3 linked regions of the Oryctolagus cuniculus genome follow. The protein of the gene in region 2 interacts with the protein of the main gene of each other region in a pairwise test. Links are inferred from orthologs where the notes say so. Each region holds a gene or a part of one and is shown on either strand. Other genes may lie near its edges.

Region 1 (3,647 bases), on a different chromosome or scaffold from region 2:
GAACTTACTTGGTCTGGTCCATTTAAGGACTTCTGACGTGAGGAATCATTTTCTCAGCTTAAGAAGGTCCCATGCAACCTCAGCCTAATTGCTTTCTCTAACCCTTGTAATATTCTTGTGTCAGAGAAAAATCAACTTTATCTATAGATTCATTGATTTCAGGGGAGGAGATGGTATTTTCTTCACTTTTCAGATCAAAAAACTATCTCCTCCTCCTCCTCTTGCATCAGGCTCCAACCCTCTGGATGTAGCTCTGTCCACACAGCTTCCCTGGAACTGGGCTCTCGGAGGTCATCAGGGAACCCCTCCCTCAGTGCCAGATCTCTTTCCTGCCCACACACCTTCACAGACTGCCCATTATCCACCAAGAAAATCCAGATGCCTTGCCACGTGTCCCCGGCTTCCTCATGCCCTGAGCCCACTTTCCCAGCCTTATCTCCCCCTACTTCTTTTATGGACCAAGTGCTTTGGCATCTGCCTGTGTTACTCATAGTCACACCTCCATGTTTGTGCTCATGTTGCTTCTTAAGGCTCGAATATCCCTGCGTGTTTTCCACCTGTGAGTATTGACACTTTATGCCCCCTTCAAACTTCTGCTTAAATGCCGCCATCGTATGGCAATGCCGCCATCGTATGGCAATACCTCACAGAGTTAACTTCTCCCTCCTCTGTACTCCCCAGTAATTGAAAGTCTTCATTTTTTTCTATCTTGATGGATACTTAGTTATATTTGTGCTGGTCTTTTCTTCCATAATGCAGGAGCCTTTGAAAGCAATAGCTTTGTCTTGGGTATCTTTGTAAACACGAGAGTTTCCTGCCTGCCTGCCTGCCTTCTGGCGGTTGACATCATCCATTCAGACATCACTGAGTCATTTGTGGCCCCAGAGCATTGATGATGCAATCTACGTTTTAGTGCCTGGCTGAAGGACACGGTAGACCCAATGCTGGTGACCCTGGACCACCGCATCGCTGCCCTCACCGGCCTCGATGTCCAGCCTCCCTACGCGGAGTACCTCCAGGTGGTGAACTACGGAATCGGAGGGCACTATGAGCCTCACTTCGACCATGCTACGGTGACCGTGGGGCCAGGGCTATGGGGTGGGGAGCCAGGGCAGAGGCAGAGCTGTTGTAGGGCTGTCAGGGAATACTAATCGAAATCTTACAACAAAGATTCTTATTCCAGGAATATTTGAAAGGCTTAGTTTCAAGCTGACTGCTGCTGATTCTTTGTCTTCCGAGTGCCATCCGCCTTTCCGAGGTTTGCTAGCTGGGGGAGAATGTGGTCTGGAAAGGAATTGTCTCTCCTGCTTCTCCTGGGGTCTCCCCATGAGGATTGTCCTCCTTCTGGTCACTGTCCTTTCACCAGCATCTCAGTTGCTCACTTTTGCTGACAGTATAAAATGATTTCTGAGGAGTATAAAAATCTCTCCAAAACTGATCTATAGATTCAACCCCAACTTCATTAAAATTCCAGGAGTTTTTTTTTTTTTTGGTAGAAATTAACATGCTGATTCTAAAATTGTATATGGAAATGTAAAGGACATAGAGCATTTTGTTTTTTTTCTTTTTAAAGTTGTATTTATTTATTTGAAAGTCAGAGTTAGACAGAGAGAGAAGGAGAGGCAGAGAGAGAGATCTTCCATCTGCTGGTCCACTCCCCAATTGGCCATAGTGGCCGGAGCTGAGCTGATCCGAAGCCAGGAGCCAGGAGCTTCTTCCAGGTCTTCTATGTGGGCAGGTGCCCAAGAACTTGGGCCATCTTCTGATGCTTTCCCAGGCCACAACAGAGAGTTGGATCAGAAGTGGAGCAGCCGGGACTCGAAGCAGTGCCCATATGGGATGTTGGCACTGCCACAATGCCAGCAATTTTGAAAAGAACAAAAGCAGGACATACACTCCCTGATTTTAAAACTTGGCATAGAACTACAGTAATCAAGACAGTGCGGTGCTAGTGTAAGGACAGACACAGAAGTCAATAGAACAGAACAGAGTCCAGAAATAAACCCATACCTTTATGATCACTTGATTTTTTTTATAACAATGCCAGGGAAACTCAGAGAATGAAATACAGTCTTTTCAACAGATTGTGCTGGAACAATTCAATATCTATCTGCAAAATAATCATAATGCTAAGATGATGACTTTAGACCCTTATCTCACACCATATACAAAATTAACACAAAATGGATCATAGGCCTAAGTGTAAAGTGAAAAATTATAAAATTCTAGAAGAAATAAGAGAAAATATTTATGATCACTGGTTAGGCAAGGATTTCTTAGATGGATATCAAAGCACGATCCATAAAATTAGGAAACTGATAAACTGGACCTGATCAGAATGAAAGTCCAGTGCTTTTCAAAAAATACCATTAGAAAATGAAAAGATAAACCAGGGGCTGGCACCATGGTTCACTTGGTTAATCCTCCACCTGAGGCGCTGGCATCCCATATGGGCCCTGGTTCTAGTACTGGCTGTCTCTCTTCCAGTCCAGCTCTCTGCTATGGCCCAGGAGGGCAGTGGAGGATGGCCCAAGTGCTTGGGCCCTGCACCCGCATGAGAGACCAGGAGGAAGCACCTCGTTCCTGGCTTCAGATCAGTGTAGCGCCAGCCATGGCAGTCATTTGGGGAGTGAACCAATGGAAGGAAGACCTTTCTCTCTCTCTCTCTCTTTCTCTCATTGTCTATAATTCTACCTGTCAAATAAAAAATATATTTTAAAAAAAGGAGAGATAAGCCACCACCTAGGAGAAGATATTTGCAAATCATGTATCTGATAAAGGACTTATATTCAAAATATATATAGAATGTTTATAACTCAGTGACAGGATAAACTTCTCAATTTTTTAAGATGGGCAAGAGATTATTTGAACAGCACTTCACCAAAGAAGATAAGTGAATGACTAATAAGCACATGAAAAGATGTTCAGCATCATTAAAGAAGTGTAAATTAAAGCCACAGTGAGATAGCACTGCATTCCTATTAAAATGACTAAAACAAGAAAATATCAGGGCAACTATTGGGAAGGATGGGGAGGAACCGGAACACTCACCTACTACTAGTGAGAATGCAAAAGGGCACAGCTACTTTGAAAATAGTTTGGCTTTTCTTAAAAAGTTAAATGTATACCTGCATGTGATCTAGCCATCCTACTCCTAGATGTTTTACCTGAAAACATAAATACACACACACAGACCCATACAAAGACCTGTACATGAATATTTATACTAGCTCTATCTGTAAGCCCAAAAATTGGAAACAGCCCAAATATCCATAAGCAGGTGAATGGATAATAAATAAATGTGATACATCTGCACAATAGAATATCACTGGGCTATAAAAAATAATTAACTACTGCTATATCCAACAACATAGACGGATCCTAAAAACTATATACAAGAAGCCAAACATAAAAGGCTGCATATTTTATGATTCAATTTGTATGAGACTTCTAGAAAAGGCAAAACTGTAGAGTTAGAAAGTCGGTAACTGTTGTCCAGGGTTGAGGTGGGAGCAGAAACTGACTGCAAGCTTTTCAGGGGATAGAAGTGCTCGGAGATTGGATGTGAGCAGTTGGACAACCGTTAAAATGTACTGCAATTCATTGAACAGTACTCTTAGAGTGGGTGAATTTTATGGTATGTAAAT
Region 2 (4,417 bases):
GTTGGGGGGCCCTCAGTGTCCGAGGCAATCCAATTGATGGCTGTGGGAGTAAGGATGAAGTTCTGAGCTTGCGAGGGCTCAGCCGGGCTCCCTTCTGTCTTGACCGTGACTATGACCTTACTAGCCCCAGCCCCACTGGGGCCAGGAATCCCATCCCCTGTCATCAGCAAGGGGCTGGGGAAAGCAGAGAGCACCAGAGGATTATTTCCTGAGAATGCCGAAGGCACAGGGGGCTGTGGAGGTGGGTCCCAGGGGGGCTGGTCTGGCGGGCCAGGAGTAGGAGGGGGAAAGGGAAGTGCAGCGAAAGGAGACAGGGCAGCACCAGGTTTCATGGTCATGTCCGGTCCTGGCAATGGAGATGCTGTTGAGACAAAGAAAAGGAGAGAATGGAGCCGGAGAAAAGGAGACCAGAAGTTAGGAATCTGCGCTAGCTGAGAAGTCCTGTGTTAGAGGAGTTGCCCCTTGTCAACAAGACACTGTCTATCAGGAAGAGGCAAGCCCAAGCCACCACCGCCTCTGAGAGCTTCTCTAAGCCAGGGGATGCCTGGTGGACCCTCCCTGCCAGCCAGCCCCACAGGCTGTTTAGCAAGACAGGAGATAGGGTTGACACCTCTGAAAGAAAAACAGCCCGTGGCAGACTCAGAGCAGCAGCGGAACTAGTTCAGAGAAGTTCTGGCTCCTCTCCAGGTACCCACAGGGCCCTTGAAAAGGAGGCAGTTTCAAAAAAGATTACTGGGGGTCTGGGCTGGGGCGTAGGGGGTTAAAGCCCCGGCTTGCAGCACCAGCACCCCGTATGGGCGCCAGTTTGTGTCCCGGCTGCTCCACTTCTGATCCAGCTCTGTGCTATGGCCTGGGAAAGCAGCAGAAAATGGTCCAAGTCCTTGGGCCCCTGGGTGGGAGACCCAGAAGAAGCTCCTGGCTCCTGACTTCGGATCAGCTCAGCTCTGGCCGTTGTGTGGTCATTTGGGGAGTGAACCAGCAGATGGAAGACCTCTCTCTCTCTCAAATAAATAAAATCAATCTTAAAAAAAAAAAAAAAAATGGGTCCGGTGCTACGGTGCTATGGCGCAGCAGGTTAATGCCCTGGCCTGAAGCGCCGGCATCCCATGTGGGCGCCGGTTTGATGAGACCCGGCTGCTCCACTTCTGATCCAGCTCCCTGCTATGGCCTGGGAAAGCAGTGGAAGATGACCCAACTGCTTGGGGCCCTGCATCCACGTGGGAGACCTGGAAGAAGCTCCTGGCTCCCAGCTCCTGGCTTTGGATCGACGCAGCTCTGACCACTGCGGCCAATTGGGGAGTGAACCATCAGATGAAGACCTCTCTCTCTCTCTCTGTCTCTCCTCTCTCTGTGTAACTCTTTCAAATGAATAAATAAGTCTTTAAAAAAAATCATTGGCCCATCTCCTGCTCCTTTTCCCTTTCCTGTCAGCATCTTCACTTTCTCTCCTAAAACAACACAATGAAAGCTGCGGTGCCCTTGTCCCATAACACCTTGCATACATGTACGCTTCCTATTCCCACCTATTCCAAATGGGATTCACAGCCCCCGCCCTCTGTTCCTAGGTCCTCTGTGGCCTCTGCCGCCACTCATGGAAGTGCAAATCCCAGGAGAAGGTATGTGGATTAGATGTTTGACTCCCAGAAATGTTGTATAACATCCAGGAATAGCTAACCAGAGAGGATTAGATAAAGACCAGGAAATGGCCCTGGAGAGGGAGGTTTTCAGTCGCTCTGGACATGTTGAAGTTTGGCAGTGCTTGGGGCTGCTAATAGCAGACACTGAGGGTCCACTAGGAACAAGGCACTGAGCTAGCGCTGAGGCAGGGACAGCTGAGTCAGGAACTGCTCCTGCTGTGGAGGAGCTGTGTGGACACTAGGCAAGGAGGCCAGGGGTAAGAACACACGCATATACTTTGTTAATCATGACCTGTGTCTCCCAGGGCTTTTAATAACAGTAAAGGTGGGAAACCTGCCTGATTTCACGGTGCTCTCCTCCTCCTCTTACAAAGAGTATTCCACCAGCAGACTAAGGCCAGTTCTACTTCCTGACCTTGAAAGAGATTTAGAATGTGACAAACTAAGATTCACTCATCTGAACCACAGAGCAGAGGGCCAGGAGTATGCCAGGAACTACCAAACATAAGTCATCCGTCTCAAGGACTCAGGTCCACAAAATGTAGGGAAACAGAATATTTTAGGGAAGCCACGGCTCTCATGCCAGTGATGAACCACCTCCTCTGGTCCTGATGAGTCAGGAAACACTGGGGGCAGAGGCCGATGCTTGGCCTGAAGGTTAAGAGACCTGCATCCCACAGTGGAGTGCCTGGGTTTGATTCTTAGTTCTGCCTCCTAATTCCAGCTTCCTGGTAATGTAGACCCGTGGATCTGTGCCACTCCTACCACGTATACCCCTGCCCTGGCTGCAGAAACACATTCTCTTCCAGAGAATCAGTTATGCCATCTGTACTCCACACTCAGCATGTTTGCCCTGGGATGCCACCATCTGACTCGAAGGAGGCCCTCCTCCTTCCTTAACCCCTAGTGTTCATGGTACAAGCACCTGACCCAGCCTCCCAGGGGTGATGCCTTTGGGGGATGGTCTCACATTTTCTAGATCAGCCCAAAAAGCTTGTGCCCTGCTGAAGTGTCAAACTTGAATCCCCAAGGATGTGAGTAGGTGGTTGGGGATGGGGCCCTGCCCCGCCACCTGAGACTTACTTCCATCTGAAGCCATGGTCTCAGGCTTGGGTACTAACTCTGGCTGTCTGGAAGCCTCCAGAATGAGACAGTCAGGTCTGGAGTCCCAGAAAGTAACCTGGCTCCAATAGATACACAGGGATCCAAGGAAGGACGTGTAAGGATTGTAGCAAAACAGAACTAGAATGCGAACTCCGGGCGTTCTGCAGTGGGGGAGGGGAGAAGGGAGTGCGGGGGGGGGGGGGGGGGGGCGGGGGGGCGGGCATGAGGTGGGGGTTGGGAGGGTTCTAATTAGTAGACAATACCCAGGAATCCCCCCAAACTAGAGTTTGGCAACACAATTGCTTGTGTGCCTCTTTAGAGCAATTTGTAAAATCTTCCTCAGATTCCAAACATCATACTATACAGTTTTACCTTTCAGTTCCCTACACTTTAATTTTCCATCTCGTACCTAGTTTTGTACCCTTTAAACCTATCCGATTTTCCAACTGACTTCCTACTAATAGCAGGTGGTAGACCCTTGACTTAATTCAGTGACAGCTATATTTTCTGAACCAAATTCAGAGCACATTGCAATGTGGGCCAAAGGAATAAAACGTTGGCATTTAGACTTGTCTCACATGACCAGGGGCATTCAGTTGCTGTCTGCACATCACTTCCTTGGAAAGCAGACCTGCAGCCCCACAGGAGTCCACTAGTGGAAACTGCAGTCCGCAAAAACCATAGATTACCCTTCGCTGAGAAGCCCCGTTACATTTAAAAATAATCATAATTCAAACTGCCACGCGGCTAGATCTTCAAGACCAGACAGTTTTTTGTTAAATTATTTTGTTATTTGGAAATTTTTAAATAGGTCACATATTAGAATATTTCAAAGGTCAAACTGTACAAAATAGACTATACAGCAACAAGTCTTTACTTGTAACCAAATTCTCTAAAGCAGAGGGAGCGAGTGTCATGTTTCTTGTGAATTTCTGGAGCGGCACTTTAATCAACTACAAGCAAGTACAAACTATATTTTTAAAAAAAAAAAAGCTTTTGGGTTTTTCTCGTTACAAAATTCACATACGTTCCAATGTTTTTGCCGTTACAACTAACTCTGTAGTGGTCACGTCCTTAAACTGGAGTCCTATAAGGAGAATTTCTACGTTCTTTTACGGATTCTACATAGTCCTAGAAGATATATCTTACGCTATTCTTAGCTACTTACCACTCTGAGAAAGAGCGCTGAATTTTCTGGAAAGAGATCTGGGTTTGAATCTGGGTTCGCCCACTAAGACATACTGGACCGGTCTCATAAAATAACTTTACGCTCTTTCCTTTAGAGAATATGGAATACCCGTCATGCACTCTTTACCGCCAATACTTTGAATCGGGGCGTAGGAACCGGATGTAAAAGTGGGGAGGACAGAAAACCTTATTTCTCCCCTAGGGTCAAGGGGCGCCGAATCCGCGAGCCCTCTTTTCTGTGGGCCCTGGAAACCCACTGGAGACGCTCTGGAGAGGGTGTGCATCCTGGGGTGAAGGCGGGCTTGTCCACACCAGTGTGCGAGCCCCGACCGTGCCTCCCTACCCCCCTACGGCGCTTGGCAGTGCCGGGCACACCGTGGGCACCCTCCACGTGTCTCCTAACGTCTGCAAGGGTGGAACTGTGCAACTGTGTAGCCGGCCCAGGCCCGGCCCGCGGGGGCGCACGGGCGGACTACATTTCCCGGTGT
Region 3 (3,647 bases), about 34 Mb from region 2:
CTCAAAGTGAGGCTCCCGGCTACACGCACACAGCTTCCGACACACCCAGCCAGTGTATAGGAAGACGGAGAGGGTCAGTCTGGGGGCAGAGCGGAGACACTGGATTCCTCCCGGCCACAGGAGGGCAGCCGTTCTGCTCGCGTCAGAGGCCATTGGCTGCAATTTGGTGGTGGTCTTTACAAGGCCATAAGCGTGTAGGGGGAGAGATGACGGGACACAGAAGGGAACCAGAGCGAGGACGCTGGCCCCTCCAGCTGGACACCTGGCATCACCCTTGACTTCTTCCTTCCTCTCCCTGGCCCCACCTGACCAGTGCCTCACAGGATCCCATTGATTCTGTGCCTTGGCATATAGATTTTCAGTACCGCAGTGTTTGCAATCACACCCACTTGTCCATTTACGGGGACCCTGGTAACCAATTATGGTTCATGCATACAGTGGTGGTAGAAATATTCAAAGTATATAGTGTTTAAAAAAAATTAAAAAAACCAAGCTGCAGACAAGAATGAAAAGACCACCAGTGTGTGTAAAAATGGACATTCGCGCACTCATAAGCGATGATGAAGTCCTGCAGGAGACGGCCCCAAACATCACAGGGCCACCTCTGGAAGAAACAGTGCAGGGATCACCAGGGGTGGGGGGAGGGGGCTGTCGTTCCCTGGGCACTGTTTTGTTTAACGTGGAGTGGGAACTGGTTTGTAATTTGTTGTAAACCAGCTACAGTTTAAACAGAAGCAGTAGCAGAGGGTTGGCAAGGGGCCAGGGCCCCTCTGTCACACTACTGCCTCAAGACGGGCTTGGCAGAGCTGTGTCAGGCCTGGTCCCATACAGCCCAGGGGTGGGTGGGGCGGCAAGCAGGGGACAGCAAGGAGCCCCCCGGCCATCAAGCCGGAAGGGAAGCTAGGAGTTATCTCCTGGTGCACCAGATTTTCATGAATTAAAGTCTTTTTTAGGAGACCCATGGAGGGTGGGGGCTGTGCACCTATTGCAACTCTAAAGGTCAGATGTCCATTTCTTTTGGTGAAAAATTTGGCTCTGAAAGAGTGACAACACAGGGGAAAAACTGGCTTCCCCTGCTGTAAGAGAAAGGGGCAGCATTCGCCGCATTTTTTTTTTTTCCAAGTCAAGACACATCCATCAGGCACAAGTTATTTTAACACTGGACATTTCCAAGGATGTGGACATAAGGGTCAGGACCACGGGGAAGGACCCCGCTGTGGATTCCCGCCTGCCCTACAGACAGCCGCCCAGTGCGGCCGCGGTGTGCTTGGCTAGCCCAGGGTCGAGGCTAACTTTAGGTACTGGTGTCACCCTTCGGCCTGTGCCCACTACTTGGCCGGCACCTAGCACAAGCAAGGTGCTGTGCTACAGGCAGGGTGTCCTGCGCCTATTAAAAGTAGTCTGAGAGTGCTGCCGCCGAATGGAGAGGGTGAAGCAGACAATGGCAATCCAATGTAAACCGGGTACAGACAAGGAGAGGACAGGGGCTGGGGGCCTGGGAGAGGGGCACCCTACCCCACCCAGGGGATCAGGCTTTGTTACTCCCTTACTTAGACCTGGAGGATGAGGAGGCATGGCGTGAGTGAAGAGAATGGGGCGAGAGAACTGTCTGCTAGGCAAGGCAGTCCAGTATGGATGTGTAGGCTGTGCACTGCACACAGTCCCAGGTGAGGGCCTGCAGTGCTGCATTCGCCCAGAGGGTGGGAATTAAGAAATGGTACCCTGGGCCGGCGCCGCGGCTCACTAGGCTAATCCTCCGCCTAGCGGCGCCGGCACACCGGGTTCTAGTCCCGGTCGGGGTGCCGGATTCTGTCCCGGTTGCCCCTCTTCCAGGCCAGCTCTCTGCTGTGGCCAGGGAGTGCAGTGGAGGATGGCCCAGGTGCTTGGGCCCTGCACCCCATGGGAGACCAGGAGAAGCACCTGGCTCCTGCCATCGGATCAGCGCAGTGCGCCGGCCGCAGCGGTCATTGGAGGGTGAACCAACGGCAAAAGGAAAACCTTTCTCTCTGTCTCTCTCTCTCTCACTGTCCACTCTGCCTGTCCAAAAAAAAAAAAAAAAGAAAGAAAGAAATGGTACCCTAAGATTTCACGTGGAACAGTGGGGACCCTTGCTCCATCGTGAGCTTATAAGAAAGCACAGATGGTAGACTTCAGGGTTGAAATCCCAGCCATCTACTGTATAAGCTGAGGTGGGCTACTCAGCCCGTGTGCCCCAGTCTCCTCTTCTGTAGAATAGAGGCATCTGGGTGACTGGCACGGAGACCCGTGCCTGGCACACACAAACCCGAGTAATCCCATGCTAGGAGTCCTAAGCGCTTCTGGTGGTGCAGCCACCCTGGAGAGTATGAACATGACGGCTCTGTGCAGAGAATCCTCACCGTGGGGCACCTGGCAGAAGACTTGAAGCGGTGAGGGTCAGAGGCCTCTGTCATGGGCCTGGCCCCTCCCACACAGGGGGCTCTTGGGCTCTGGGCCAAAGGACCAACCCCCCATTTGGCTGCCCACCTGCTTCTGCCATTCCGGCTTTGGGGAGCGGCAGCACGGAGCCAATGGCTTGTTTGTGAAATCACGGTTGTCAGCCTCCCCCAAGGACTACTGGGAGGGCTCCATCTCCTTTAAGGCCGAGGGGGTCAGAGAGACGGGGTTGGGGAGGCGGAGCCCAGGGCCTGGACGTCAGTCCAGGTGCCTCCACCCTGAGCTGCTCATCCTTCTGGGGCTAAGGAGGACAATACCTTTTCCCATGACGCGTGTGAACTGCCCAGGGAGGTCCCCCTCCGGCAGGGGGGCGACGGCCAGCTCCCCGTCACAGCTGCTCAGCTGGTGTGGCTGCAGCCCGCCGCTGGCCCCGGCCGAGGCACTGGCCGAAGCGCTGCTGGCCGTGGCGCTGTCCTTGCAGTCAGCGCTCTGACTCTCGGGGCCCATGAGCGAGGGCTGCTGCGAGGCCGGGGGCTCCCGGCGGCGAGCTTCCGGGGTGGCACTCGGGGAGCTGTAGGCCTTGATGGGAGTCAGGATCATCTGGTGCAGCTCCTGGAGGGGGACGCGCAGGCTGCCCCCCTCAATGATGTCCTGCATGGACAGAGGGAGAGGCCTCGACATCAGGCTCAGGAACAGGGTGTCCCCCTGCCACGCCTGCCCCTCCCCGACCCCGGCTGCTCCCACCCAGGAGTCCCGGCTGCCTGTTCATCGGAACGCTCTCAGGGAAAGCAGCCGCTGCCACTGTCCCACTGCCATCAGCCCCGGAGAAGGCCTGGCGGATACAGGTGTGTGCAGGGAGGAAGACACCCGGCCCCAGGCCACGAGTGGCACATTCTTCCCTGGCTTCCTCCAAGACGCGTTCCTCGACTTCACCCCACGCTCTTTAGAGGCTGGGTCATGGGCTGGCCTTGCAGCCCAAGTGCGACTCCTTACGCGTGAAGGAAGCCATCCACGCCCCATCTCTCAGCCCATGCCACCAGCAGCCCAGGGTGGCGACTCAAAGTATAGACTCTGGGTCAGATTCTGGCACCATTTCGTGACTGTGGGCCAAGCTCTCGGCAGCTTGGTGTGTGCCTTAGCTCCTGCTGCAGCAGGTGGCTATGGAGACGCCAGTCCTGTACAGCTGCAGGTCAGTGTCATGATGCTCTGTGTGTCTTTGATACCCGAGTCAA

Evidence for each region.
Region 1: the proteins of NUTM1 (region 2) and P4HA3 interact in binary tests that used the Homo sapiens proteins (3 or more experiments, as listed by UniProt). The two-hybrid records come from large-scale screens. The link is inferred for Oryctolagus cuniculus from reciprocal best matches to the Homo sapiens genes NUTM1 and P4HA3.
Region 3: the proteins of NUTM1 (region 2) and SAMD4A interact in binary tests that used the Homo sapiens proteins (3 or more experiments, as listed by UniProt). The two-hybrid records come from large-scale screens. The link is inferred for Oryctolagus cuniculus from reciprocal best matches to the Homo sapiens genes NUTM1 and SAMD4A.

What each region holds. Positions count from the first base shown.
Region 1 is NC_091432.1:65,523,677-65,527,323, reverse strand, and holds part of P4HA3 (prolyl 4-hydroxylase subunit alpha-3), read left to right. Parts: intron 1-913; coding exon 914-1,073; intron 1,074-3,647. UniProt on the Homo sapiens protein: Catalyzes the post-translational formation of 4-hydroxyproline in -Xaa-Pro-Gly- sequences in collagens and other proteins.
Region 2 is NC_091443.1:55,645,907-55,650,323, forward strand, and holds the start of NUTM1 (NUT family member 1), read right to left. Parts: upstream 2,869-4,417; 5' UTR 2,737-2,868; coding exon 2,721-2,736; intron 362-2,720; coding exon 1-361. UniProt on the Homo sapiens protein: Plays a role in the regulation of proliferation. Regulates TERT expression by modulating SP1 binding to TERT promoter binding sites.
Region 3 is NC_091443.1:21,709,909-21,713,555, forward strand, and holds part of SAMD4A (protein Smaug homolog 1), read right to left. Parts: intron 3,067-3,647; coding exon 2,733-3,066; intron 1-2,732. UniProt on the Homo sapiens protein: Acts as a translational repressor of SRE-containing messengers.